Linked DNA regions of Oreochromis niloticus. The protein of the gene in region 3 interacts with the protein of the main gene of each other region in a pairwise test. Links are inferred from orthologs where the notes say so. Each region holds a gene or a part of one and is shown on either strand. Other genes may lie near its edges. The genes, in order: ppp1r16b, hnrnpul1, sf3b4 and bag3.

Evidence for each region.
Region 1: the proteins of sf3b4 (region 3) and ppp1r16b interact in binary tests that used the Homo sapiens proteins (3 or more experiments, as listed by UniProt). The two-hybrid records come from large-scale screens. The link is inferred for Oreochromis niloticus from reciprocal best matches to the Homo sapiens genes SF3B4 and PPP1R16B.
Region 2: the proteins of sf3b4 (region 3) and hnrnpul1 interact in binary tests that used the Homo sapiens proteins (3 or more experiments, as listed by UniProt). The link is inferred for Oreochromis niloticus from reciprocal best matches to the Homo sapiens genes SF3B4 and HNRNPUL1.
Region 4: the proteins of sf3b4 (region 3) and bag3 interact in binary tests that used the Homo sapiens proteins (3 or more experiments, as listed by UniProt). The two-hybrid records come from large-scale screens. The link is inferred for Oreochromis niloticus from reciprocal best matches to the Homo sapiens genes SF3B4 and BAG3.

What each region holds. Positions count from the first base shown.
Region 1 is NC_031970.2:6,549,144-6,556,501, reverse strand, and holds the start of ppp1r16b (protein phosphatase 1 regulatory inhibitor subunit 16B), read left to right. Parts: upstream 1-4,343; 5' UTR 4,344-4,503; intron 4,504-7,358. UniProt on the Homo sapiens protein: Regulator of protein phosphatase 1 (PP1) that acts as a positive regulator of pulmonary endothelial cell (EC) barrier function. Involved in the regulation of the PI3K/AKT signaling pathway, angiogenesis and endothelial cell proliferation.
Region 2 is NC_031979.2:33,502,649-33,510,266, forward strand, and holds the start of hnrnpul1 (heterogeneous nuclear ribonucleoprotein U-like protein 1), read left to right. Parts: upstream 1-4,598; 5' UTR 4,599-4,756; intron 4,757-5,238; 5' UTR 5,239-5,280; coding exon 5,281-5,518; intron 5,519-5,737; coding exon 5,738-6,040; intron 6,041-6,365; coding exon 6,366-6,576; intron 6,577-6,675; coding exon 6,676-6,749; intron 6,750-7,059; coding exon 7,060-7,199; intron 7,200-7,618. Other genes in the region: opa3 (optic atrophy 3 protein homolog), read left to right, coding at 846-987, 3,395-3,723.
Region 3 is NC_031985.2:19,772,814-19,779,862, reverse strand, and holds the start of sf3b4 (splicing factor 3B subunit 4), read left to right. Parts: upstream 1-4,035; 5' UTR 4,036-4,088; coding exon 4,089-4,122; intron 4,123-4,967; coding exon 4,968-5,096; intron 5,097-5,181; coding exon 5,182-5,724; intron 5,725-7,049. UniProt on the Homo sapiens protein: Component of the 17S U2 SnRNP complex of the spliceosome, a large ribonucleoprotein complex that removes introns from transcribed pre-mRNAs.
Region 4 is NC_031978.2:25,360,711-25,368,015, forward strand, and holds the start of bag3 (BAG family molecular chaperone regulator 3), read left to right. Parts: upstream 1-4,282; 5' UTR 4,283-4,455; coding exon 4,456-4,653; intron 4,654-6,426; coding exon 6,427-6,765; intron 6,766-6,886; coding exon 6,887-7,231; intron 7,232-7,305. Other genes in the region: tial1 (nucleolysin TIAR), read right to left, coding at 1,474-1,561, 1,691-1,745, 1,893-1,991, 2,099-2,195, 2,581-2,609. UniProt on the Homo sapiens protein: Co-chaperone and adapter protein that connects different classes of molecular chaperones including heat shock proteins 70 (HSP70s), e.g. HSPA1A/HSP70 or HSPA8/HSC70, and small heat shock proteins (sHSPs), e.g. HSPB8.

The DNA.
Region 1 (7,358 bases), on a different chromosome or scaffold from region 3:
TCTCAAGGCATCTGACCAGTTGCTCCTACATATACAAAAACCACAGAACGTTCTCCGTGGTTGTCCCTAAGTTGTGGAATAAATTTCGTTTAAATGTTAGACATCTGTCTAAAATGCCCATTTTTAAAACTCATCTTAAAATGCATTTATACTCTTAGGCTTTTGATCCAGAATCAGGCACTGATCTTACTTGTTTTTTTATATTGTAGTCCTTTCTATCAGTGTTGTCTTTATTTATTTTTATCATTTTCAATGTATTTATTCCCTTTCTTTGTACAGAAAAAAGGGTATTCCTGTGGCTGTTTTAAAGTGCTTTATAATTAAAGTTGTATGGTATGATACTCGCTGTAGTGACTCCTGTGAATAAGGGAGCAAAGCCACCAAAAGTAGCTTTAATGTAGTTATTTCAGGTTTACAGGCTGCAAAAGTAGTGCAAATGAGTGAACCAAAGAATATAGATAATGTAAATGGAGTGATTTAATGTCATGGAAAAGTAAATAGCCTATAAAATATATTTGCACCCAAGACCATTCTGAAATCTCTGAGGGTTTTCTCTAATCATATTTGAAAAAGCAGATGTGCAGACATCACACAGAGAAGAAATTGCAGCCATAGTGCAAAAAGATGGTGCACAGTTCTTAATGTGGGACAGCTCAGGCTGAAATCTGGGACACTCATTAGAAGCCTTTTCTAAAGGCCTAAATCAATGCATGAAATCGTGTGGTAAAAAACATCTCTGGTCTCATTAAAAAAATTAAAAGAAAAAACAAAAATCTGTTAGGCCTATGTGTGAGACGTTTGAACCAACAGGCAACCAGAGGGTGTGTCAAACAGCAGAGTGTTACATTGTTTTATGTCACATCAAATCATGAAATAATTTACAGTATGATGGACTGGCATTTGTAAAGCACTCCTATTAACCGCATCAACAAATCACATTTAACCTTTGTATTATTCACATTCATAAACACATTAATACAACACTTTATTCTTCATCTAGGTCAAAGCTACTAGCACTTTAGAATCACCGGATAAGCTAATGTGTCCAACTTTGAGCTCTGCGGGGACCATCGTGCCACCTACTATTGTGAACAGGAAGCAATATAGTTCAATTTAGTTCAGTTGGTCTGTCTGTCTGTCAGCCACCCACCAAATAAATATTCAGTATATGAAGATGAATACTATTGATTATCTGTATGTAGATATGTGTTTTGTGTCCATTTATGTGATTAAACACGTCTCCAATCTGAGAATGGCCCTTAAAGAAAGAAGTAAAAAAATAAAAGCATATTTTACATGAATTATCATAGCAGCTTGGCTTGTGAAAGATTTAGTTCCTCTGAATCCACCTTTCAACACACTTGTGTTGTGATTAAATTGTTGCCTGTCAGCATTTACATAAACGGAACTCACAACAGTCTACAGTTTCCAGCTGTTACTAACACATCCATGACGTCACGCCTGCAACTTCCTGTATGAAGACTGTCCCATTTTTATAGAACCACAAGTGTAAAGTCGAATAGTTTCATGACTAATCTTGACACCCAACAACACAGACTGTTACAAGACTCTAATTCAGTGATCTCACTTGAAAACTGTAGTCAACTGTTTTAGTGTGCGGTGGGTTTATTGAGTCTAATAATAATAATAATAATAATAATAACAATAACAACAATAATAATAATGATGATGATGATGCTTCACATGACAAGATCAGAAACAAACAATAAATGAAATGTTTAAGAGATCAAAGTGAAACAATAAATAAGGTATAGAAATCCTGGCATAACAAAAAGATAAAAGGGAGAAATGAAGATAATTAAAAATGAAAAACAGGTAATTAAAGAAAATATAAATCGTCAATAGGAGAGGACGATCAAACAAATCTGAAACATGACATAATTCAACATAGTGTCAGGACTCGGGCTCCCCAGTGGATTCTCTGTTTCTGTGTGTGTGTGTCTCTCTCTCTGTGCTGTGTGTTCAAGATTGTGTTCTTGAGTCTCCACCCAACTCACCTGTGGCTGGTTCCCCACATGTGGAAGATGAGCAATTAGGGGCTCCTACTTAAGGCGTGGGTAGACGGCCAGTCATCACTGGAACATTGATCTGGATTGTGTGGAATGGCTGCTGGCTTGGTTTGGAAGTTGGACCCTTCCCCTTCCTAGATGTCCCCCTCACCAGTCTGTGTATTTTCACTATACTGATCTACCTGTAAATAAAAACTTCAGTCTGCCTTTGTGAGCTCTGCCTTTGAGTCCACTCCCCTAGTGCCTGACATGACACGTGGAGCTTTTTTAGTGGAGGCTGAAAAAGGCTGTCCATAAAACACATTTCTTTAAGAAACAGATGATAATGAGCTCACCAGTCTATCCTCAGGGGGTCAGTGCCCTGGCAGAAAAAGCCTGATCACCCTTGGTTATTAAGGTAAGACTGTGGGACAGCCAGCAGAGCTTTAGCTCAGGACCTCAGGTTATGAACAGGGTGGCAGATGACCTGAGATATACTTTGGTGTGAGTCAAGCGGTACACTCTGTTAGTACTGGGTTGGTCCCCCTTTTACATCCAAAGCTGCCTTCATTCTTTGTGGCATAGATTCAACAAGCTCCTGGAAACATTCCTCGGAGACTTTGCTCCATATTGATATGACAGGTTTGTCAGCTCCTTATCCAAATTTCCCTCTACACCTCATCCCAAAGGTTCTGCTAGACTGAGATCTGACAACTGTGCAGGCCATTGGAGTACAGGTTTCAGTTTCCTGTTCTTAGCTGACAGGAGTGACCACTAGTGTGGTCTTCTGCTGCTGTAGCCCATCTACTTCAAGGTCTGATGATCTTCTGCATCAAACCTTGTGTGTAGCTAGGATTATTTGTTTTACGGTTCCCTTCCTTAAACTAGTCTAGCCATTCTCCTCTGACCTCTCACATCAGCGAGCCATTTTCACTCAGAGAACCACTTACTGGATATTTTGACTGCTTCGGACCATTCTCTGTAAACCATAGAGATGATTCTGTGGGAAAATCCCACTAGATGAGCAGTTTCTGAAATACTCAGACCAGCCTATCTGGCATCAACAATCACGCCAAGCTCAGTCATTTAAATCACCTTCCCCATTCTGATGCTAAGTTTGAATTTCAGCAGGTCATCTTGACCATGTCTACATGCCTAGATGCATTGAGTTCCTGAAATTTTATTGGCTGGTTAGATATTTGCCTTAATGTGCAGTTGAACAGCTGTACCTAATAAAGTGGCTGCTGAATACATGTACTATACATACAGTTGCCTGGAAAAGAGTGATATATATAGTCTCTTTTTCTCTTTTTTTGATGTATATATTTTCCCAATGATCATTCTGCTTTTCTCACTTTCAGGAGTTTTAAAAAAATCCTTCACATTTCAATTTTGCATCTGAACACTTTTATTCTACAAATTTACAAATACTTAAGGTCATGGACATTACAAACATATATATATCAGTAATTCATTAATTATAAGTTACTAATATCATGTATAGCAGCGGTCCCCAACCTCCGAGTCGTTTGGTACCAGGCTGTGAGAGTTGAGGCTCGGGTGTGAAATTTATGGTTTTCAGGGTTTTTATCAGTTTTTAGTGTTATTTTTTAATCATTTTTATCATTAACTTGATTTCCCTGTGTCTTTTCCCGTGCCTTATGAATAAATCTTCTTTTTTTGGTACCGGTACTGGTCTTATTTTGTTATATTTATCCGTGACACCTTAAAGGCCTGTCCGTAAAATATTGTTAGACATAAAACGGTCCGTGGCACAAAAAAGGTCGGGGACCGCTGATGTATAGGATCCTAAAGTTTACTTTCACGTGTATACATTTACTTTATGTACTTTAAATATATTTGAATATACAACCTGTGAACTATTAAGCTATTTAAATAGGATTATATCCTTTAAAGAAGTAAACAAATCTATTATTTATAAAACTGTTCATCACAAGGTTATGTTTAAATTCTTTTACAACTCCACTTTTCACATAATAAATCTGCTATAAGACGCTGGGCTGTGGAAGATCTTGAGAATTTGTGGTTTGTACACCAGTTATCTACACTTATCAAATATTGACTGCCCTTGCATAGTTGCACGCATGTGAAAACCCTTTAACTGTTCCTGCAGTGACATTTGGACCAAAGCGATGGAGAAAACCTGTAATGTATGTGAAAGGGTGCCTCTGCGGGCCACCACTCCGTGCACCACTGCCATCCACCGTGGCTCCATCCGTGCTTCAGTCTCCGCCTCCTTCTTAGCGCCGCCCTCAAGGAGTGACTTGGTGTTGAAGCACAGAGAGAGAGAGAGAGAGAGAGAGAGAGGGGGACTCTGCAGACTCTCACACACACACACACAAACAGAGACACACACACTGAGCTCCTCACACCAGCTGCTGTGTCTTTACTAACGGGACAACTTTAAACCTCCTGGATACCATAGTGGACCCTCTGCTTTCCCCTCTGCCCAGTGTGAACACCCCGAACTGAGGTGAGTGCAAACATCCACACATGTTGCCAGCTCTATTGTAATTTCGGGTGTGTTTGCCGTGGACCGCTTGAAACTAAACCAGAAGATGGAAGAAGGGAATTTTTTCCCCCGTGGAGGAAAAGGGGGCAGTAGACAGGCAGGAGGAGAGGCATGTCCGGCTTCTGTTGGAGCACTCCGAGCTAGCGCACTTTACCGCCTTTAGTGGGTCACCAGACGCTTTTGTGAGCTGTAATTAAACCGGTGAAAAGCGTCGTTTCCGCTGCTGGCGCCAGTAAACACAACAACACTGGTTGAGCGGCTTTAACATCTCCTCATGGATGTTGGTGTAACAGCGCTGCGGTGACACACATGGCTCTCCCCCCCTCCTTTAGTCCGGGAGTGCTGGCTGGCTGCTGCTGGGACACCGGGACTGTTTGCAGCGGGCGAAGCTGCAGATGTTTATTTTTGCATTTACTTTGTGAGTTTGTGACTCCCACAATCCAGGCTGAACGGACTGATGTTCAGGCTTTACGTGCCGACGAGCAGAGTCTTCGTCTTAACTTTTATATAGGAAATTTACGTATGTGCACTCATACAGTTTCGGCTTTATTGTGACTGTAGCATGCTCACTTATTCCTCCCCTTTATGTGATTTGAAGTGATTAATCTTATATGTAACCCATATATGTATGAGCGTAATAAAAATGTATTTAAAAAATGACCCTAAATGTTATATTATTATTATTATTATGACACCAGTAGTGTCCTAATGTGCTGCTTGCAGAGATGTGCACCAAACATCATCAGCAGTGTTCATCTCACTTTGTGCCAGGTGTACAAATTGCTAAGACAGGTGGGCTTCTTGCCTGGCTGTGTTACCTTTAAATCTTTGATGTGTGGAGACATCCTGAACGCTTTCCGCCTGCTGTTCCTCTCAGCATCTGCACCGGCTGTTGGCTCATGTTGGGGAGTGACGGTTCACTCTGCTATACTGCGTGCATGTCTGCTGTACATGCATGCGACAGCACAAGAGCGACGAAGCGTGTCTGTACACGCGAAACATCAACACCCAAATCTTGGACTCCTGCAGGTGTGCATCGCAAACAGGAGTCCGGATTGTGCTGCTGCTAAATGTACTGTGCAAGTTAGTGCTTAACTAGATAACCACTGACTACCAGAGGTCAACTGTACCAGCTGAGCTCACTCTGCGATGGGATGCAGATAGAAATATAATAAACTTCAGGGTGCAACCCTTGTGTGACAGGTAGCAGGAAGGCCCCAGGAGGGATCAGAAATAAAGAGCAGTTAGACGGCATTCCTCTGCACAGTTTCGTTGCTGGATCCGAAAGAATATCTGGATCTGGATTAGCTTGCAATATTTTCTTGAAGAATAAAGTTTGTATTTGTGAATATATGAGGCGACTCCAAAAGTTAATCACTTCTAAATTGGGGGCAAGCCGTGCCTTTAATGCAAATTTGGCCATACTGTTTTGAGTAATAATGACGACAATCAATCGAACAGATAAACTCAACCACCAGCTGTTGTTATTTCAGGTAACAGCGACTGTCATCCCATCAGCTGCTGATTAAAAGGTCACACATTAACAAGGTCAAAGGTTAAACTGGTTGAACTTTAAGCGAAGTGCTAAGATGTAAAGTCTATACTGGCGAAACATGTAACATGTGGCTGTGAACTGATTTTAGTGTAAAAGTTAAATTTAAGCTGCGAAAAACAAGCAACTGACAAATATTAGGGATAAAATAAACTGAAAAATGTATAAATCCATTTACAGTGAAACCCCCAGAAAATATTGTGGCCTTGTAAATGTACTGTAACTGCAAACTGCCTTTACGTTGGATTAGATCGAAATTGAAAACTGTGCTGATAATGAATTTCTCTCTCTGAAGTTATGCGCGGTAACTGATGCCACATTTGAGCGTAATATTGCGATGTCTTCTTGCCATTATTGTTTAGCTCACACACAAACCCACACAGGCACATTAACGTGGCACTCGTCCACATTACCAACAGCAGTTATACAGAGTAATGGCAAAATTATATTCCTGTGAGTGTCTGAGTGAGTCGTCTCTGATCTCTAAGGAGCCCCATTGCTATGCTTCACTACTCCCTCCTCACTGAAGAGCTGCCTCCATATATTCTCTGCAGCTTTGTGCCCTAACTGATGTTTAATTATTCCAACACGGTGATTTGACTGTTGCTCATAAAATATTGAAACAGAATCAGCCCTGGAGGCACGCTGAAACACTGGCCTCGCTTGATACTTAAACAGGACCTGCAGTGGAACGGGGCATCAAAGCGGGTCAGCAGAAGCGTGAAATAAAACGTGTGTTTCTTTGTATGAATTGGAAATCTGTTTCTCAGCCGCTAAACAGGTCTTATCTTTCTTACTATGGATAAGCGATTTAGTAGATCAGCGCTCTGATTACAGCTAGGAGCAGGCACTGACTGCTAATCTGTGGTCTTAATACGAAGACAGGCAAATCACAGGGCAGCTATCGAGCCTGCTTAGAGGCCCTAAAAGTCCACAGCCTTCTCCTGAGGTGTAGATTTGTTCATTTTTGTTGCTATCTTCAGGTTGACTTGAAAGTGGGCTTGAGTGTGAAGCTTTTATTTTGTGGTCAGGTCTAAATCACCAGGGAAGGAATGCTGGTCAGATAAATTTGGTTTAAGTGCACTTTCAGACCTCTAATTTATTTGTTCTGCTCTAAATGTGTAGGTGATTTTGTAAACTTGGAACTTTTCACTTTGCTACGATTTCTTTTAAGGCAGGGAAAATCAAACAAGCCGAAATATACCAATGCAAACACTATGCTCACTGGTCAGAAGAGCAGAGTAAGATGTGAAGTCCTGTGTTC
Region 2 (7,618 bases), on a different chromosome or scaffold from region 3:
TAGTCATAGCTGCGTACTGAGTTGAGTTATTTTGGCTGATAGTCCAGCCCCTCGGCTTTCTTCACTGCTGTAACCCGAGCCAGGTGTTTCTACCACAGCTGTTCCAGGTGAAGTATATAATCTGTGAGGGAGGAGTTGCGTATTATTTAGTATCTCGCAGACAGGTAACTGTTGATTTTTTTTTTATTCACACCCTCACTTTTAAATAGAAATACATATATTTTTTCAGTTTATGAACTGTGTGAAATATATATATGCATATATATGCTACCATATATAGCCTACGTTACATGTATAATAATAGACTATTGTTTTACAAACACAATTATGTATTTTTAAAAAGACATAACTGTGTTTTAATTCGTTGGGCCTACATACATTAGCATATAACTTCCGATACACCAGTCTCTCTCATTTAAAAAAAAAATAAAACCATAAAATAGTATCTTACTGTAGTTTATAATGGTTGTGCAGTGTGGAAATGATCTAACATGCAGCAATGCAATATGATGCCACGTAAAAAGTAGTTTGTCATTTTATTAATTTAATTAATTACCTATTTAATTCATTTTTAAAGAGAAAATTAATGTCAAACATCAATGCTGTTATTTAAATTGGGAAAGACGGGACGTTTATCATTAAGTGAGTTCTAACTAATAGCAAAACAAGATAACAAATACAAACAAATACGTCGATAAATAAATAACCAAATAAGTAAGGAAATCAGGGCGTTTCACTTCACGAGACTTGGACACGTGGACGGATTTGTGACTGGGCTTGTCAATCATAAACGTCATCACGTAACCTCTACGCACTCCGCCCCATTGAGAAGCGTTTCCGCCAAGATGGTTGTCGGTGCCTTCCCTATCGCCAAGCTCCTTTACCTCGGAGTGAGGCAAATGAGCAAGCCTGTGGCTAACCGGATAAAAGCTGGAGCCCGGAGGAGCGAGTTCTTTAAAACTTACATTTGCCTGCCGCCGGCACAGCGTGAGTAATTTGAGCTAACGGCTGCTAATGGCTTAGAGTTCAGTCCAGTCACCTCTGACGGTTGATAAGCATGGAGAGCCGCAACAACCAATGACAATGAACCTGAAATGACTGTTATCCAATCATCTTTAAGAATTTATATCTTCGACCAATAGTAGCCAGGCAAGCTCTAAAAGGGCGGGTCTTGTCTGTCATTGAACAGGTTGTGTTAGCCTTTGCAATGAGGGCACGGCAGGACAACTGTAGTCCTAACACCCTATTCAGAATGTGACGCTGACTTTAATTAGACAGAAATATGCTAAGTGGACACTGAGCTCTATTGTTTAGGCATATCTGACTTGTTTGTGTTAGTCATTTAGAATACTTCGCAGGCGGCAAGTAAAGCTTACTGTGTATATCATGTTGTGTTTGTAATTGTGTTCTCCATCATTCATTTTCAGATAATAAAAAAGGCTACAAATAAAAAAGAAGCTACAGTTTTTCGTTAAAGATTAAAAAATTTTTTCGTTAAAATTTTAAGTAAATTAATGGATCAAATCGAGCTTTTATGAAAAGGTGCTGGAGGAAAAAATGGCATGGTATTATTTGTTGACCGAGTAGATAAAATGCAATAAAAGGTTTGATTACTATTAAAAGGTAGTCTTATCTTCATATATGATGGCTGAGTGAAGCAGAAAGGATTTTACTCCAAACTGTGAAAGTGTAGTCATACTTAGAGCTGTCAGGAGGTGAAGGGGGGAAAGACATTAGAGCAATAAGGTGAAAGTACACCAGCTTTTGAGGAGTCTGAGCAGGGGCAAAATGACAACACACAAAATTTGTTATGGACAAGAAATATTATGTAAGCTAAGGCTCTGAGGGATTTGGCCTCTCAGTTGCCATACAGGACACCCGTGAGTGTGAAGGGATTCATCTTTACATGGCAACCTTCTTGCATTCTGTTTAAGAGACTTCTCACTTTCCATGGGGCTTTATTCTTTTCCCACTTATCACTGACATCAAGAAAATGTTTCTCTTTGATGGACTGCTGAATCTTGAACTATTAACCAGTAAATTTGGATCCCAAGTTAGGTGGTGACCACAGATATGCTGAAGAATGTTTCAGTTTTAATGCTACATTCAAAAATGAGCATCTCCCTCTTGTTTGTGCCCTGAAAAAAAAGAAAAAAGAAACCTGGTTGCCTAATTTCTGTGTAATGTATTAAGAGCACCACTGATTTAGTGGTTTTGGACAGTGCTTTCCTGTTTTCATGTTTTATGCTAAAAACAATTTCAACCCAATTTCAGTAAGGTATTAATGCTACGTTCCCTTCAGAGATGACCACCACCTTCTGGTTTTTGAGCACTGAGATTGTTTTCTGTTTGATTTAATCAGAGGATCACCTGTTTGGTGGTTGTGTGCAGCGTTGTCCTCTTTTCATTCTAAAAAATTTTTAACCCTATTTCAACCAGGCTCCTCAAAAACTGAAATGTGTTCCTCTGAGCTTTCAACTTTCGGCTCTGATGTCTGGCATTCCCCCAGCTCATCTCCTCACGGCAATAAGACTGACTCCCCTTCTGCAGTTCTCAATAAAATCCAGTCTGCCTCATCCTACTCTTTGCTTCCTGAAGTGTGGTAGCAGAATGAGAGGTAGTAAGTCTTCTGTCCACTAGAAAGGACACTGAATAAAAAAGTAATTGCTGGGTCCTAGGAGGCTATGTCACAATTGAAGACAAATATAACCTACATAAAATGATAAACTCTTCAACTTCTTTGTTGTCTTTATTTATTGCACAAAAGTTCAGTTGCAGCTAGAACAGTAAGTGAAGATGTAAATATAATTCCTCATACAAACCTTTTTAGCAGCCACAGTCTCTGGTATGCATGTTATTTAATTGCTTATAAGAGTTGCACAACAATGAAGGAGAATTTTGGACAACTCCCAGCAAAACCTGTTTTAGTTCAGGATTTATGTGATGCTTTAGTTGAACGGCCCTTTTTAGCCACAGCATCTCACTAGGGTTAAGGTCGTGGATCTCCTTTAGGTTATTGTCTTGTACATAGCATTACACAACCTCTCCCGTGCTTCAGGGTATGGACTGCTGGGCTGAAATTCTCCTCTAAAACATCTTGAAATACATTTTACTTTATTATTATTTCAGTGATTGCAATTGTCCATCACCTGAAGTTACAAAGCCTCCTGAAAACATAGTGCTGCCTAGACCGTGAATCTCAGCTGGGTAGAAGATTATAATAAATTATAGTGCAATGATGACATGCATCTTAAACCATAAATGCAGTTTCTCCTGTATTCACAACTTTTGACCAGATTATCTGATCCTTTTAATGAAAAAGTGAACAGGACCCAAACATATTCAAAGTCTAACAACTCTTTCCTTATATACTGTATGCTCCTTGTTCCAACAGTTTATCACTGGATTGAGATGAGAACAAAGATGCGGATCATGGGCTTCAGGGGAGCCACCATTAAGCCGCTGAACGAGGAATCGGCAGCAGAGCTGGGCGCCGAGTTACTGGGGGAGGCAATCATCTTCCTCATTGGTGGTGGATGCATGGTGTTAGAGTACAGCAGGCAGGCGGCTAACTCTCGCCGTAAAGAGGAGGAGCTGAACGAGACCCTCATAAGCCTACAGACGCAACTGGCAGAATTATCCCTAACGACAGAGACTCTAAGTGCGCAGCTGAGAGAGGTCAACAGGCAACTGCTGTCATTTCCTGTTCCCACCAAAAAGTAACAAATTTAGTTGTTTGCTATACAGCAAGGCATAATGTCGGGTTGTGGGGTGAAGGAGTGAGTGCACGTGTATATGTACAGCCTCATAGCTTTGAGCTGGGTGGAAGAGGTTGATATAAGTATATCACTGCAATGTGGATTTGGGTACTGTCATTTGCTCATGTTCTGAGCAACTAGTTGTAAAAAAAAAAGGGAATTGCTATGATATTCATAGTGAATTTCACTGGCTGACCTTGCATGTTCATTGTAAAGTTGACTGAGTGTATATAAAAACTAAAGTGGTGACCTTAAAGTTGATATATACATATATATTTTTAACAGCTTCAGCATATTCCTTTCTTTGTAATTCAGTGATCCTCGTAGACCTTAATCACTTTGGAAATGCTGAATTATATGATTTTTTTTTTTTAAATACTAATTATGAGTTACTATTAATGGAAAAAAAATATAAACACCAAAAAACAAAACCAGCTCATATCAGTGGATTAGTTTTTGAGAGAATCTGCCCCTGTACTGTCCATAAAATTCCATGTTGTAATTGCTGGTTTGTAATTGGATGTATGGTGACAATTGGAAAAAAAAAAAATTGAAATAAAACGATATGCTGGCTGTTGATAGCGTTTTTGTCATGTTTAATACGAAACAAGCGAATAAAAACTGAAAGCACCTCCAGAGTGGATGATGTCCCGCGTTTCTTCACATTACTGTAAAACTACAGTACCCAAGATGACGTCAATGTAACACTTCCTACTTTGGAACGCTCCAAGTGCTTAACGCGTAACATACAAAACATCGTTCTCTTTGATTTCATCTAAGATTATATGGTACAAATTAGTTAATGGTAAACTCGCGCTATTTGGTAGCTCAAAGAAGTGCATCCCAGTGTTTTACATTTGCAGCAGAATAATAAATTCAACCAACCGGCTCTGCTTAACTTCCGGTTCTGAGTTTGGTCAGGTTTGTGGCGCCAGGGGGCGGTAGCAACTCTTTCAGTCTTCTAACACGACTTGCCCGCGCAACTTGGGTGAAAGGAGGTAGGCCTCAACCTTGTTTCGTAAATATATTCTGTTTCAGTTCTAAACTATAAGCGGAGTGCACAGTGCATTATCTCCTGGACTTGCATGCAGACAAAGTATGGGTTGCAGCTTGCTTATTGTCTGAGTTAAAGTTTCTTCCCTTGCAGCGGCTGTCGGTACGTTAGCTAATGCTAGGCTAAGAACGTTAGCTGCTCAGCGAGATCTTCAGACGAGTAATAGCATTAGCATCTATTTTAGGGATAGTTTTGTCTTGCAAATGGTTATATTGGTAACGGCTGCAATAAAACACGAGTTTAATGGTTCACAGACGTGTAGTGGAACACTCTTTAGTCTTACAGAATCTGTCCAGCGTTGCTAGCTTAGCTAAACGGCTAACGCAGCCAGGCTGTGGACACGGTGCCGCGCAGCAGATAACATTTGAAAGTTATAAGGCAGTGTTTTTAGAAGTACCTGACCATTCCCCCCCCCATTTTTTGTAGCAAATAAAGACAACAGCCACCGAGTAGACATCTAAAATCACAATGAGTGTTGACGTGAAGAAACTGAAAGTCAATGAGTTAAAAGAAGAGCTCCAGCGCCGTGGCCTGGACACCAGAGGCCTGAAGGCAGACCTCGTAGAGAGGCTGAAAGCCGCTCTGGAGGCTGAAGCTAAGGCTGATGCTGGTGAGCAAGAGGATAAAGGGGATCAGCAGCAGGAAGAGGAATACGGTGATGACTACCAAGACAATGAAGATGAAACGGATCCACAAGAGCAGCAGGGTAAAGTACTATTTCATTAAACATTTCACTTCCATGAAACTAGTTTTATTACGTTGTTTTGGACTTTGATCCAATTTCTGCCCTTTGCTGGCATTACATTTTAAGCACTTCACTGTGCTTGAGTATAAATTAAAGTTTCAAAGTTGGGAAATGTCAACAAACTCTTTACTTTACAACCTAGAGAACACCTAAACTAAGTTTAAAATTTTACCTTTCCAGATTCAGAAGCAGCTGAGGACTATGGTGGTGGTGATGAAGCTGAAGGTGATGAAGCTGAAGGTGATGCCCCTCAAGATGAAGATGAGGGCCGAGATTCAGGTGGTTACTATGAAGAAGAGGAGGCAGAAGGTAACCCGTATGAAAGTCAGACTCCTTCAGACTCAGGCCACAATGTGCCTGACTTCACAGCAGATGAGGATATTCAGAAAACTGACATGATGTCTGAGGAAGAGACCAAGCCTGCAACAAAGGAAGTGGAGGAGGAGGAGAATGAAGAGGAGGAGAATGAAAAGAATAGACAAGGTAATTTTTCATTACTTTTATTACACAGTTGATTTTTATAGTCTTGTATTCATCTCTGATGGCACTGGTTGAGAATAGAAACGCTTTTCAGAGATTCAAACGTTTTACTGTTACTTACTGCCGACATGCAGAGGTGGCACAATGACCCAGTGATCTGCTTAAACTAAATGATGCTAAAGGTAGTGTAAAATTTTCCTTGTGGACTTTGGCAATACAGTAAAGACATGTAAACCAAACACTCAAACTGCTCTCATACCTAGTAGAAAAATTTCATGAACTTGTTTTCATGCTAAAAGGTGTTATGTGTGTTCATGTCTAATTATAGAAGTTAAAGTAGAGGTCAAAATGGAAGATGAATCTGAGGGTGCAGGTGAAAGGCAACAAGATAATCAGCACGAACAGCCGCATGGGGAAGATACCGCGGGCCAGCCAGAGCAAGTCAAAACTGAAGCTGAGAGAGGTGGACACTATGGACGTAAGAGGCCATATGAGGAGAACAGGGGCTACAGCTATTATGAGCACCGTGAGGAGAAGAGGTGAACTTCTACATGGTTTTCTAAGTTAACACAACTGTCTACACTCGGAATGGATAACACAAAGTGTACTACAATAAATACTCTGGTGTTATTATACAGATCCCGAACACCACAGCCTCCTGCTGAAGATGAAGAGGAGAACATAGACGACACTCTTGTTACAATTGATACATGTAAGTATGGTACATTTAAATAGTGTGTGAAAAAACTAGTATCAGTGTGCTGTCTATGGTTGTTTATAAATACCAGAGACTATGGGAAGTTGGACTGTTGTAGCAGACAAAGAGTCAGTTATTGACTACATGCTTTTGTTGATGGATTACCTGTAACATTTTGATATATGTATGCTCTGCTCTAATCTACAATGATCATGAGCGCACACTATAGCTGCAGAAAAGCGGACTAGATGTAGACTACCATCTTATGGCTGATATAGATGTGTTTGATGTTTTATCTAAATGTGCTTAACTCTTTGGTTTTCAGACAATTGTGATTTGCACTTCAAAGTTTCCCGAGATCGCTACAGTGGTTATCCACTGACCATTGAAGGCTTTGCTTACCTTTGGGCTGGGGCACGAGCAACTCATGGAGTCACCCAGGGACGCGTGTGCTATGAGATGAAGGTAGATGGATGCGTTTCTCCAAAGGCTTAGTAGTTTTAAAACTAGACATTTGTGCTGATGAGGTCAGACCTATTTTATGAAATGCTACCAATTTGGTGTTGTGTAATGATTACTGATACATGAAAACTTTGTGTTAATTATTGATATAGTGGATGGGGAAACTTTACTATTAACAAGCATTATCGTCAAATGTAAGAATAGCATTACCCTGTTGGCCTTTAAACCAATGTAGTTGAAAACACCATTTTTATAGAAGCTCTAGTTAACTTTTGTTTTGGTTTTGTTTTTTTTTTTTTTAACTAATGTCAAGTAATCCTTCTGGTTCTCTCACACACACACACACACACACACACACACACACACACACACACACATATATATATATGTATTAGGCAAACAGAAATCTTACTCTGTAAGAG
Region 3 (7,049 bases):
TGTAGCTCGTGTGTTTCTTCTCGGCTTCGGTTTGTTTTGGTTGGTTGTAGTATTCGGGATGGGAAGATGCCAAAATTGATGACGCAAGAAGCCTGTGTTTGTTCATGAATAAAGCACAGGAACAGAGGTCACCCACTCAGCAAGATATGAATGAAGGGGATAAAAGATCCCAGCTAATATCACCGGTTTTCTGTAATGGATGTGCAACCTGCTCCTACAGGTTTATTATGGGAAGCAGCCTCAAATAATACTAGACTTCCAGTAAGCACAGAAATACACTTATTGACTCATGTAATAATAATTTGTGGGTAATTTGCAAAAGAAGAAACATGTCAGCAGGTAATTGATGCTCTGACAGCAGCTCAGGTTTAAAAAAAAGATCAAATATTAAACCACCACTATGCCGTTTTACTTCAGCTTTTGTTGCAAAGGCGTTTTTTTAAAGCTTCGGCGCTTGCTTGGCGACGATGACACTAGCCGAATGTATCATTTTAATGCGCTATCAGCAAAAAGGACCTGCAAAGCAACACGACTTAAAAAAATTACAAATCTGCTCTTGTGATGCAGATTGTGTTGGTCAGCTAGTAGAGTTCAAACAAAGTGAGTGTTTGTTATGACTTAAATGTAGGTCAGGGTCTCAGCAGTTAAAAAATGGAGGCCAGAGAATGAGTTGGGCTTTTTTTTTTCTTTTTTTTTTGAAAGCTGAACCATCAGTTTTGAGTCATTGTAGTCAGAACAGTGCCAGCTTCTGTGGTCTAAGGTTTTTTTTGAGATACTGGAAGGAGAAATTGGGTTTTGGCAGCGTTGTAATGTCTGCATGCCAAAAAAATGTAATATAACAGGCATTTATTACCCTTTTTTACCGTAAATGTCATAACTTTATATTTGTTCGTCTTTATAAAATGCATTTTTATACGTTGTAGGGATAAAGGCGTTTTAACAAGCAGCATTAAAAAGACCCCACGCAAGTTTTAATTGATGTGATACGGCTCTTTTGGATGTAATGAAAGTCAGACAGCAGGAGGGCTCGTTCTTGCTGCTGAATGCTGGATTGTGAGCAGCAGAACTCGATTACACGAAATATAAAGAAAGAACAAATAAAGAAAAAGTGCAGGAAGTTTCTATAACTCATCTCTGGAGTCTTTGTGCCTTTATGAAAATGGTAGCTAGCAATGTTTGAACAGTCATCTTTACACATGTAGTTAATTTCTTACTGTTACAAAGAATAGTTGGGGGAAATTTACTCTGAGAATTTGATTGACGTTACACGCAGGGCGGTCTGGTTAATATGAAGCTTAATAAAGCCGCCTCACCATAGATTAGCATAAAGACTGAAAAGGGATGTAAACAAGTTCCCACACTCAGCCCCAAAGGTAACAAAATCTGACCAATGTTACGTCATTGGTCTGAATCACAGACTGTATATAAAAGATGGACATAGCTTCTCTGTCTAATACAGAAGCTTGTGAGCTACCAAGGTATAGCAAACGTTGAATGCCTCTTTGCAGAAATGGATAAAAGGTGTGGAATCAACGTGTTCATGTCGAAATGTTAGACAGCTCATGACAAGGAATTGATCTACCTTCACAGAGCTTTCTGATTGGCAGAGCTAGCTAAATTTCAACCTAACTTGAAATTTCAAATTACGGATGGCGATTTTTAAAATTGTTTTTCCAGCAAACAAGCTTCCGTAGTCTGAAAAGTGAAGCCAGTGCAAAAGTGCCTTCAACCTGCATTCTTTATAATTGTCAACTCCTCTGGAAGGACTGACCTCAGTCAATACTTTCCTTATGTCATTGTGGTCCCTTTTAAAAGTCCCTTTTAACACACAGCATGATGTCTGTTGGTATATTATGAGCTGGTGTTGACTATGATAAAATACGGTGTGTGCTAGACTGGGACTGTTGTGGAGGGCCGGATCAATAAGCTGAACTACTTTCTGCTCAGTATTCATTTTTCACTCTTCATAAGCTTATTGATCCGGCCCTCCACAACAGTCCCAGTTTCTCACCACTTGTTTGTTATGTCTGGTATCAAAAAAGTCCAGAATGCCAAATGCAAGGCTTCCAAACCAGTGGGCGATGACATGGTGGCTACGTCCATCTTTTAATTACAGTCTGAAGTGGCGTCTGTGCTGGGTAATACTTCCAGTACCTGCAGAGTGTTTTTATCAAATCATTTCCTCAATATGTTACATGCCGTTAGATTGTGAAGGATGTATTTAATGTTATTACCTTTGGTATAAATTTATAAACATTATATACTGGTTTTGTTTTTGTTTTCTTTCTTTGTGCCCACTTTGCAGCATATGTGTGTGGCGCAAATATAAAAATGCTGACTTTGCAGTTCTCTTTAATGAATAATGCAAATTTAAAATTGACTGAAAAAGTCAACTTTATATGTCCTGGTTAGTATTTTCTCTTTTTCAAATGTGTAAATTTCAAATCAGTAAATTTTAAACTTGGTACTAAACAGATTCCCAGGATTTCATATGCAGAAACACTTTCAGTGATTTTATCCTTCTTTGACTCAATTAAGATTAATGAGGAAATGTGATTAATGAGGAAATCTCAAGCAGTGTTTTAATGAACAGCTTAACGGGAAGGAGGCTGAGGCAGTTTGTTTCAATTTAGATGCTCAACATCTGGGTTGGTTTTTTGGTTTGTTTGTTTTTATAGCCACAAGCCATTAATCTCAAGGCTCCTTCTGTAAAAAATGCCTTTGATCTTTCTTTGTTATCAATATTATTGAAGGTTTTTTGAACCGTATGTTTGTTTTTTGCTATTTGTTTCCTAAAAAACAGTTTTGGCTCTGCATGTTTTTGTTTTGTTTTTTCATTTTTTTTGCTTTGATGCATGATGTGTTGATTAAGTTCTGGTTTTATATGTTTCATATTCTATACAGTATTGTTTTATAAGAGTGTTTCTCGAGGTCCTTACTGTTTGTATTTTCTATGAAGATTTTGTATTCCATGTTTATACTTTTAGTAGATTTATATGTATATGTAATAAATTTGCTGTTACAAATGGCACTGTGTCGAGCCACTTGTTTTCAGTGACTGAAAATCAAGGCCACACACACACACACACACACACACACTGGTAATAATTTAATATTCCAAATTAATAAAAAGACATATTCCAGATTTTTAGAGTATAAAAACACTAATTTCATTCACTTTAATTTTTTTTAAATTATGCAGTAACTTGCAAATGCCACCAGAAGGCATAACAGATATATCCCACCCACAGTCTAAATTAGGCATCGTAGCACTGTTTCTGATCAAAACCAAACACAATTAACATTACAGAGCAATACTGGTGAATTTATTTTTCCTCTTTCAGAGCCCACAAAAGTTATCAAAGTAAAAACAACTGTAATAGACCAATTGCCTCTATTACCTCAGATGATCAAAGGACTTGAAACTCTTGTCTAGGTTGCTTGGTTCTCAGGGGGGTTGTTTTAAATCAAGAGAACCATCGAGTTCAATCTCCTAAATCTGGGTGACATATAAATGAAATGATGCAGACTTAGAGCCAAGAGGATCGCAGGGGATCCAGACAGTTGTCCATACTAGCATCAAGGAAATGCTACCTTACTGTGTGCTGGCTGCACACAGTACTACAACCCCACTGACTACCTACCCACAAATCAGCTACTCAGTACCTGGACTATGTTTGAGAAACAAATTAATTATGTTTGTTATTATTAAATAAAAATAAAATAAAATAAAATAAAATAATAGTAAGTTGATTGGATTTTTTCTCTAGTTATGTCTTATTGAAACGTGAGACTAGTTGTTTCAGTAATAAGGAAATCCACTGCATTTATAATATTGTCAATTTTTACACTTTTGTTTGGTAAATTGTGTCCGGAAGCAATTAAAACAAAAATAAAACAAATTCAATTCAAGCTGGAATGAACTCGTTTTTCACATTATGTTCTTTAAAATCCGACATTTAATATCATACCAGAAAAAATTAAATTAAATTAAATTAAATTGAATTTTTATTTTATACTTCCGCTACACAGCATCGGAAGAGGCGGGGTTTCATTGTGCATCGCTCCCCCTGCGTTGGTCATTCAACATGGCAGCGGGACCAATTTCAGAAAGAAACCAAGGTAAACTCATCATTAAACTCTGTTTTGTTTATTTGCACTCCTCATTCATAAAAGTGCTGGTACATTTCACCGGAACCGGCTCAGATTTACTTACTGACTGCCTCGTTTAGACAGCAGTTTGTGATAAACAACCGGCGGATCACATGGAAACATTGAGTTGTCGCTAGCTTAGCATGTCGCTGATTTTGCTTTTCATTCAGATTTTTTCATCCTTTTACTTGTCACTTATATATAAGCCAGAGTTCAGCGTTGGTTTGGGGTTGTTTTGAAGTGTGATTGTTGCGAGCAAATTAGCAGCAGACTTAACGTCTAGTTGACCAACAACTACAAGTAGCCGAGGAAGCTAACAACATAGCTTGTAGCTTCACTCGGCGGTCAAGTTAAACATATTAAACTTCTTTGTTTCTTATCGTGCTGATTTTAGACGGGGACTGTTTCTTGATGTGGGTATATAGGATTTTAGATACCGGTATTTTAGATGTAAACACTAAACGTTTGAGTTTGCATAATAAATATTGTACACGTATATTAAATATGAGGAGAGTGTGAGAGGCAATAAAGGAACTTTAAGAAAAAGCAAGTATCTAATTTTAAAATCTTTTATCCGGTAGTTTCACAACGCATAGTTATCTGTACACATCTTCCAGCTGAATTATATTAGCAGGGCTTCCAAAGGACACAAAGGACTGGATCTCACTGATTAAGTAATTTATTTCCAAATATTATATATTTTTTCTATTCTTGAAGTATCTCTATTGACTTTTACATGTGTCCACAAAAAAGAGATTGATGACCTGTGATGATGCACTGATCATTATGAGGTTTATTCTCTCTTCATGTTTCAGATGCCACTGTATATGTTGGTGGTTTGGATGAGAAAGTGTCTGAGCCGTTACTATGGGAGCTTTTCCTGCAGGCTGGTCCTGTGGTCAACACACACATGCCCAAAGACAGAGTCACAGGCCAACATCAAGGTAAATAATCAGATCACCTTTTTGGCACGTGTTTTGAAGGATCACCAAAAACAAGCTCAGCTAACTGTTTTTGCTATTTTCTCAGGCTATGGCTTTGTGGAGTTCCTCAGTGAAGAGGATGCTGACTATGCCATCAAAATCATGAATATGATAAAGCTCTATGGCAAACCGATCAGGGTTAATAAAGCTTCTGCACACAACAAAAACCTGGATGTCGGTGCTAACATCTTCATCGGTAACCTGGACCCAGAGATTGATGAGAAACTGCTCTACGACACGTTCAGTGCCTTTGGTGTGATCCTCCAGACGCCAAAGATCATGAGAGATCCAGACACCGGCAACTCGAAGGGTTATGCTTTCATCAATTTTGCCAGCTTCGATGCATCCGATGCTGCCATTGAGGCCATGAACGGCCAGTACCTCTGCAACAGGCCCATCACAGTGTCGTACGCCTTCAAGAAAGATTCCAAAGGAGAGCGTCACGGCTCGGCCGCAGAGCGACTCCTGGCCGCTCAGAATCCACTCTCCCAGGCAGACAGGCCTCACCAGCTGTTTGCAGATGCTCCTCCACCGCCAACGGCTCCAACGCCGGTCCTGACCACACTGGGAGCTGCGATGGCCATTCCAGGTAAGAGCAAATGGAAGTTGTTTTATTGTTTTACTGCGGTGTGTTACACAACATTTCAGGCACCGTTCATCAGGTAATGTGGAAAAATCTTGTTTCCATTAATAAGAATTTAATAGGTGGTGATTTTAAGTGATTAGCTTACAAGATGAATTTGGGTGTCTGGTACAACTTGACCTACTTCCAGGAGCAGGAACAAGAAGTAATCAACCTGAAGTGGTCTAAGAATAAAATTTGTTCCTCATGAGTTTTAATCTCTTTTCACATTACACTGTAAAATCTAATTAGTTCCCAGAACTCAAAAAAATTATGGAAACTCGTTGCCTCAAAAAAATTGAGTAAAGCTTAGCTAAAAATGACTAAGTTAGGATAACTTATTTATTTTGAGTATTCTGTACAAGCTCATTTGTTCCCAGAACTCAAAAAGATTGGATCAAGTTTACATCAGATGACCAAGTTAGGGCAACTTACTCATTTTGAGTACACTGTACAGCCTTTTTTTAGTTCCCAGAACTCAAAAAAATTATGGAAACTCGTTGCCTCAAAAAAAATAAGTAAAGCTTACTTAAGATGACTGTTAGGACAACTTAGACATTGCAAGTCTGCAGTATTAACAATAACTTGATATTTCTGACTGTACAATAGTAATTGTTTACCTAACAAACATTTCAAGTTCAACTAAATGAAAAAACAATTTGTGGTAACCTGAATATGATTAAAAATAATTAACAACACTTTTTGTAATGATGTTAAAATCAGCCCAACTTTTATTTTCAAACACAACAAAGTATAACAGCCAAAAATGGACACTGTTCTGCTGAACAACAAACAATTATATTGCCATCGCTGTTATAATCTTACAATGAAACAAAGTCTCAGATGTAATTATTCTGAAAATAAGTTTAGGCCTACCACAAGTTTGTTTTGTACTTACATTACTTATATAATCAAAATAAAATATTTGTTGTTCTGTCACAAGTGCAGTCTCTAATTTAAACAACACATTTGTTTTCCATTCCAACACATGAGCTGGAATGTTGTATTATTTTAAGGATGCTTGTTTCTAGTCCAGGCATTACTGCCTGAATGACTGTCATGGATCAAGGTGATCCAAATGTAGGTGCAGAAGAAAGTCTTTAACTTCCCTTAAGTACAGTGGCAGTGGTTGATGGTTGGAGATGCAATGAGCTTGAACTTGCAGGCGACCATCTTCACTGACCACACCATCTGTGACGGAGGACTCATCTCTCCTGGTGTCCTGCAAGCAAACAATCATATTTTAACTTAATTGCTTTCTTAAAACATGTTTTTTTCTGCTTCTGGTATAA
Region 4 (7,305 bases), on a different chromosome or scaffold from region 3:
GAACAACTTCAGCACACTTTGAAGTTTAAATCTTCTACACTAAAACAAAAAAGGAACCACGCAAAACACAATGAACTGTGAATCCTCTACTCTGTCCGACATTAAGCTACATTAGCTATCATGACCTTGTACGGAGTACTGACTCGTAATATAACTTCAAAGCAACACTTGAAAAACAAGTACAAATACATGCAGCCTACAGTACTGTCTTTAAATCATTTCTGACGTATTAATGGATCTTTACCACTAGAGCACCACTGTTTGCTCAGTCCTCACAACAGTAGGCTACAGATTTAAAAATCACAAAGCAAATGGCTATGGATTACCATGCATTCTTATAAGCTGCTGTTCGTACTCTTACTACAGACAGAAATAAATAGAAAATATCAAAAAGAGAAAAAAGGAATTAAACGGCATACATGGCCTGTTAACAGATTTCTTTATTTTTCCTGGTCAATTCTTTACCACCAATATGGAGTATGGAGTTTGGGGAGCTGCAAATTTTGAGAAATTGACATTTTCAGAATTTTTGGAAGAGGATCATGGCACTACAAACAACACTATGCAAATCAAAAATAAGACAAAAAACACAGATTTAGAGGAAGACATTTTGTATTGGAATTTGTTAATCTAAGCTAGGTCATGTTAATACATGGCATCTACAAATAAAGACATATGGAAAGAATGGAATAAATAGAGAAAAAAACTACATCTGAGTCTCCAGAGTGCACAGTTCCTTGCTGTTAGCCTTCAAGCTCCTGTCCAATCCTATGAGCATTTCTGTAAAATAACCAAAGTGCTATTACTTCACTGAGACTCAAAACTAAAAGCTGTTCAGGTACATATACACAGCTTACATTTTGCTCACATGCTGTACAGTTTACTTACCACACCCTACATATGCATAAAAAAAACTGACAGTTCAGTCATAAAAATAAAGACATAATAGACCGACCACATTGTCAATGCAAATGTGTCGCCACTCTATATCTAAAAACAACAACAACATAATTTTAAAGGTATTAGTTACTCCATGTTTAAGTATGTTTACATGCATCGATGTGGGGCCTTTTCTACTCAATGTAAGCAATACTCTTTGTGACAATAAAGGGCTATTCTATTCTACTCTATTCCATTCCAGTGTTAATCCTTTCCTGTTACACATTCATTATGTTGTCTGGTTCGTTTTTCTCTCCAAAAGGTGTGCACAGAGCGCCAATTTCCAGTCCTTGACAATCAAACATAATTGTCTTTCAACCAAAAAGATTACATCAGTAATGCAGGCCTCATTGTGTAATGCAACTTTCTGTTTCACCTTTACAACCTATAAAACCTGTTTCTCAACCGACTGGGAGGAAGAAAAAAAAAAAAATCAGTGGTTGGACTGAAACATATTGTATTACACATAAGACAAGTAGAAAAAAAATACACACACACAAACACTCTCACACTCACACACACGTAAAAACTTACGATATTTTCCCAAATGGTGCAAACGCAACCCTGACATCCTCAGTAGTAATCTCTGGATTCAAATCACCCACAAAAACATGGAAGTGATCTAGTACAAAAGAAAACACGAACATAGTAAACAAACTATTTGCTAATCCCCAGTAGACTCTGATTCCAGCAGAGTGTACGTGTGTTTGTGTGCGTGGTGGTGTAGGGGAATCAATAGGCGATCGCTTACTGGATGTGTCTTTCTTCTGGCTACTTGGAGTGGTGGCCCAATTTACTTTAACCTCCTGAAAACAGAATTCACAGAGAGCACTTAAAACTGTGAAGAAGACTCAGGAAAACAATGTTGTATGATATTCAAGGATGAGAGGCATTAATACAACAAATAAACTTAATAACTTTGCATATAATTTTTTAGAGCAGCTATGTCCTACCTTTCCTAATATCTTCCTCCCATTCATGGCTGCAAGGGCTGCAGCAGCATCTCTGTGTTCAAAGAACTCCACAAAGCAATAGGGATCATTGCTCGTGTGCTGTAAGGATAAGATCAGACACAACAGATTAACAGTGTGGCTCAACTAAAACTACAACTAGGTGAAAATGTAGAAAACAAGATAACCCAGCAACCTTAGCTGCTTACCTCTGTGATCATTTTACAGCTTTTGCATGGTCCTATCTGGGTGAAGAGCTGCAGGATCAGAATTTCTGTTACATCCCTGGAGAGGTTTCCCACATACCTAGAGGAGGAAAAATAAAAAGAAGTCCACTTACTCCAGGAAACGAGCTATTTACTTTGAAAAAGTGAAGCACGGGTACTTCGTTTCTGGTATTACAGTATCATTGGTGATTATGAGTTTTTGAAGTGAAGTTCCTTACAGTAGTCTGTTTTTAACGATGTTAGTAACATCTAACAGACAGTTGTTAACACTTATATATAACTCACATATACTTATTAATTAACTCTTATGTCAATTAACCTGAAAATAGTGGAGCATAAACGCTAAATGTTTATGTCGTCCAGTTGTTTGTGGAAACAACAGCTAGCTAATTTAGCCACCGAACACCGACGATAGCGAAACTAATGACACGCAACGTTACTGCCGGACACGAAAAACTACTTACAGGGTTCTGGGGTGGGTTTCGTCGTCCATAGTCGATGCTGACAGTAACCAGGGAAGAAAACGCCACTTACTAGCTAGTTATAGCTGGTATTAACTGGCAATTAGAAACCACAACTAGCTAACTAGCTTAGAAGCTAGCTAACCGGGCGCCAGAGCATACGTCACACTGTGAGAGTCCAGAGTACGTACGTGCGTGTGCAGGAAGAGACCCGTCACATAAGGTTGAAGTAATAAAAGGCTTTTTGCGTTCTTAATAGTAAAAAATTGAAAATTTCTTAAAGACCGTTACTTCTGAATGACACCATTTTTAAAAAATTAACTGTAAAAAGCCGAAAGAGCAAACCTAATGTGTACTTATTTTATTAATTTTGGAAAAGGAAGCTGCATACGAAACTCTTATTTTGAAATGCAATGCAAAGGTACGCTTGTTTTCAATGCCGAGATTTGACGGCTCAAGGCAGTGGCGCGAACCACCAGGACCTTTCTCGAATCTGAGCTCAGATGTCACTGTGAAGAAATTTCCCGTTTGACTTGTACATTCACGCTTTATTAACAAACTCTTTTAAATGCTTAGTCACAACAAGGCAGTGGTTGTGGGGTGGGGGATGGAAGGAAATTATATGTCAAAGTATATGTAAAAAAAGTTGAATAACAAGATTGTTGAGTTTATTGCCTGAACTGTTGTGATAACCCTGGGTGTACAGAACCAAAGAATTGTACTTTTTTTTATACTACCCAAAGACATTTTTTTTTCTTTCCCCCCTCATTTTTATTTTTTCCTTGTGGTTTAAACTTGGCGCATAGTGGGCGCTTTTATTTTGAAGGACTTTTATTAAAGGACAAATGCGTAAAAAATGATCCCCTGTCATTCTTAAGTCTACTAGTAATTTTCCATAAAAAATACTAAAGACTTTAGTTACTCTCACTCTTTAATGTTACTGGCTCTAATTTGTGTTGCGCAACCGCGATATTTTTACAGCCATAAGAAGCCGCTTGAGGTGGATTAAGAAAAGCGTGGCGATGGGTAATTAACGGTGATATAATTGACAAGCTTGCAAAAATTAAAGTTGGCTTCCCCTCCTCGCAGGCAGATATCCAATTAAAACGAATTGCTCCCATAAACTACTTAATACATATTTTATTACTGTCAATCACGTGTGTATTTTCTGGTATGCCAAAATGCAAATATTAGATGTCGTTGCCTGCAATGTCCAAAATATCAAACACCTTTAAAAATCCATGTGTTGAACGTTTGTGACACTGTTAAGTCCACGAGATCAAAGGTTTGCTGCACTGGTGTTTTCCTTGTAGTACAGGGCAGAATTGGAGTAGTCCTTTGATTAAGAAAGATCAGTCATTAGACGTGTCACTGTGCCCACACTTATCACACCACCAGTTACATAATTGTGCACCAAATCAATGCAAACCCAGACTGAGTTCCCTTGGACAGCATTTATTATGTGGGAGTCTGAGTACATCTATTTGGAGAACATCTTTTTAAGCAAACACTTTGGGATTCCCTTGTCTTGGAAAATGGTTCAGGGGCAGGGGTCACTGAGGAAGGTCCACAGTGCCCACTGTACACGTAAGGGTGATTACTTCTCTGCCCAGACAGGACACAGCAAAGAGGGGGAAAAGGATGCATGGTGGGGTGGGCAAAAAAAAAAAAAAAAAAAAAAAAAAAAAAAAATATCGAGGGTTTACTCTGTGTCTATGTGAGGGGGGGGTCTGCCTGCGACATAACAAATCTGGGAACCCATGCCACTGTATCCAGCGCTGTCCGCCCCCAACATTAACCCTGCTATTTCGAGAAACTTCCAGCCCACTTTTCCACGTCACTTGAAGGAATCTTTAAAGCGTCCGTCGCCCGTATAAAATGTCTCAGTACTCGACAGCCAGCAATATGAACGGCATGAAGACACAGTCACCGATACTGACCATGGCGAGTAATGACAACGACCCTCTCCCCCTCGGTTGGGAAGTAAAAATTGACCCTCAGACTGGATGGCCCTTCTTCGTGGACCACAACAACCGTACCACAACCTGGAATGACCCGAGACACGACACGAAAAAGGTAAAAGAGCGGCGGGATAAAGTTGGTCAGTTAACGGTAACGGCTAACGGCAGTTTCACCGCTATTTTTTTTTCTGTCGACGTGCGTCGGTTGTGGTGCATGTTTTGGTTTGTTGCGTTGTTAAAGCGGCAGAAGCCTTTGCGCTACATCACTGTTATATATTAGTCTTGTTGACCGTAGGCCCTGTTTGGCACCGTTGCCTCCCCCTCACGGACAGCTCATAAGCCCATTATAACGGGTGATCAACTCTGATATGTTCCCGAGTCATGATCTAACACTATTATTACTCGATGACTCACTCTGCAGCATGCAAAAGGCTACCCATGATGAGCTCCCCGGCATTTTAATGTGTTTCTTTCACGGTGCAAAACAGTGCTGCGACGTCCTGCTCATATTAAACTTTTTCCCTTACAAGGATCGAGGCTGGTCCACTTCGCTTCGGTTGTGTACGGCTGTAGCCGGGCGCTGGCTGCCCCCCGCGTATCGCATTCAGCTGTATTAAAAACCGTGTTGTGAAAGCGCACAGGTCTGCAGAGAAAACCCGTGGGCTGAAGTGAGCTTCACAGCCTGCCAGCTGGTAATCTTTCGTCTCAGAGAGAGAGACGCTGTTGTCCAAAGTTAGTGTCCAGAGGAATCTGCTAGAAAGACACAGCTGTTGGGGGATAAAATTGGTGCAATGGTGCTGGCAGCGTGCAGTGTCCCATAGTGGCAGAGGGCAAAGGGTCGTTCACGGCTATTTCATTACTTTAGTCCTACTGGAAGAATGCCACTGATTTACAGATAAATGCAGTGTTTGCTTTGTAGGTGTTTACTTCGGGTGTGTTTCGGGCAGCTGGTACAACTTTTGTCACTTTTCAGTTATGCCATTAACTGAGTGCTGAACTGGCAGACCTGTTGCTTGTACCCATCCATAGCTGTCATGTGCAGGTGTGTAGTCTAGAGTAATACTAATAGAAAACAAGCGCCTTTCTGCAGTAGAAAATGGAAATTTAAAGCATTGATTTACTAGTCATACGGTAGAACCCAGCCCCTTCTTTTAATTATATTTTACTCTTGTATGTATACAAATGTATCCTGGGATTGTCTATGATTGGATGAATAAATGTTGCTCGAGAAAGAATTTACTGTGCTATGTGGAAAGAACTCATATATTTGCTTTTTTTTTTTTTTCAATCAAAGCAAACCACATTTCCTCTTTCTGTAAAAATCCTAATGTTTGGCTGATATTATTAGATCCAAGGATGTGCTAACTGTTGTTGTTGGATAAGTCAGGACATTCATCCAGGTTATGTTACTCTGATTGTGAAACAATCAACAATAATATTCATCACGGAAACAGCAAGCTGTCTGACGGGAAACGCACCAGAGCCTGTGGGTTCACATATCAAAGATTCAATACTTTTGGCATCCCTCTGCGAAATTGTGACATTTTAACCTATAACCTCTGCAGTTACCTCAGGATGGAAAACACTTTGCTTTTTAAAATTCCTTAATACTTTGAAGAAAAACATTTAGTGGCACATCGTAAAATGTCCTGTTGTACGTGGACTTAAATGCAACTCTTTAAGTGGAGGAGCTTATAGCTGAATATTTAACATATGTAAAAGTAATTTTTCTTCTGTTACACACCCATGAGCAAGAATAGGTTGGCTAAAAATATATTAAAGCACATTTTGTAATCAACCGATGCCTAAAATTTGCAATAAACTACAACAGCAACTGTAATTAATCTGAGTATAAGGTTACATAGATTGCTATGTTGCTATGTTTCAGGTTCGAGAAGTGTCAGCAAATGGACCCAACATACAGCCAGAACTAAGTCCTCAGGAGACACAGAAGACCTTTGTGAGGGAGATGAAGCACCCCATTCTTCGCCCAGGTTATGTTCCCATCCCAGTCTATCATGAGGGTGCAGAACTGAGGCAGCAGCAGCAGCACCCGTGTTATTCCTACATCCAGCCGAGCACTGCACAGAACATCCGGACAGATGGGCGGACACCTTCCCCAACGCCGGGGCTCCACTGCAGGCCTAGATCGCCTTTACATGGCCCGTCAGACAGCTCCTCCGCTGAGCCTGGAAAGACGAGCTCGCCTGTCTCACAGACACCAGAGGTGGGAATTGAGTTTAAATGTGCCACCAGATGGAGTATAATGTTTACAGTAGGCAGAAATGTTCCAATTTTCAAACAACTACTGAATTTTGACTGTTTTAATTTGTTCATTTATTTTTAAGGCTTATACTGTTACGCATCACCAACCTTCACGGCCCAGCAGCACCGGTCTCCAGTCTGGTTATATCCCTATACCAGTGATTCATGAGGGTGGAGGGGGACAAACACAGGTTCAATTAAATCCCTCAGTTTACTCTCAGCGCATCCCTTACCCAGAACATCAGCAGCCCTTCCATCGTCTTCAGACAGATGAATGGCCCGGCTACTCTGCTGCAATGCAGCCCCCCCGGGAACAGGCTTCGCCAACTCTGTTTCCTCAGCACCGCGATACTGCCTCCATTCATCTCCCTCCTCACATCAGAAGCCAGTCACCTGTTATATCACAAGTGATGGGAGAAAGGCCACAGGTAATTTTACTTTTTCTGTGTGGCGTGTTGTTGTTTTTTGTTTTTTTCAGATATATATATAAAGCTTTGATTTC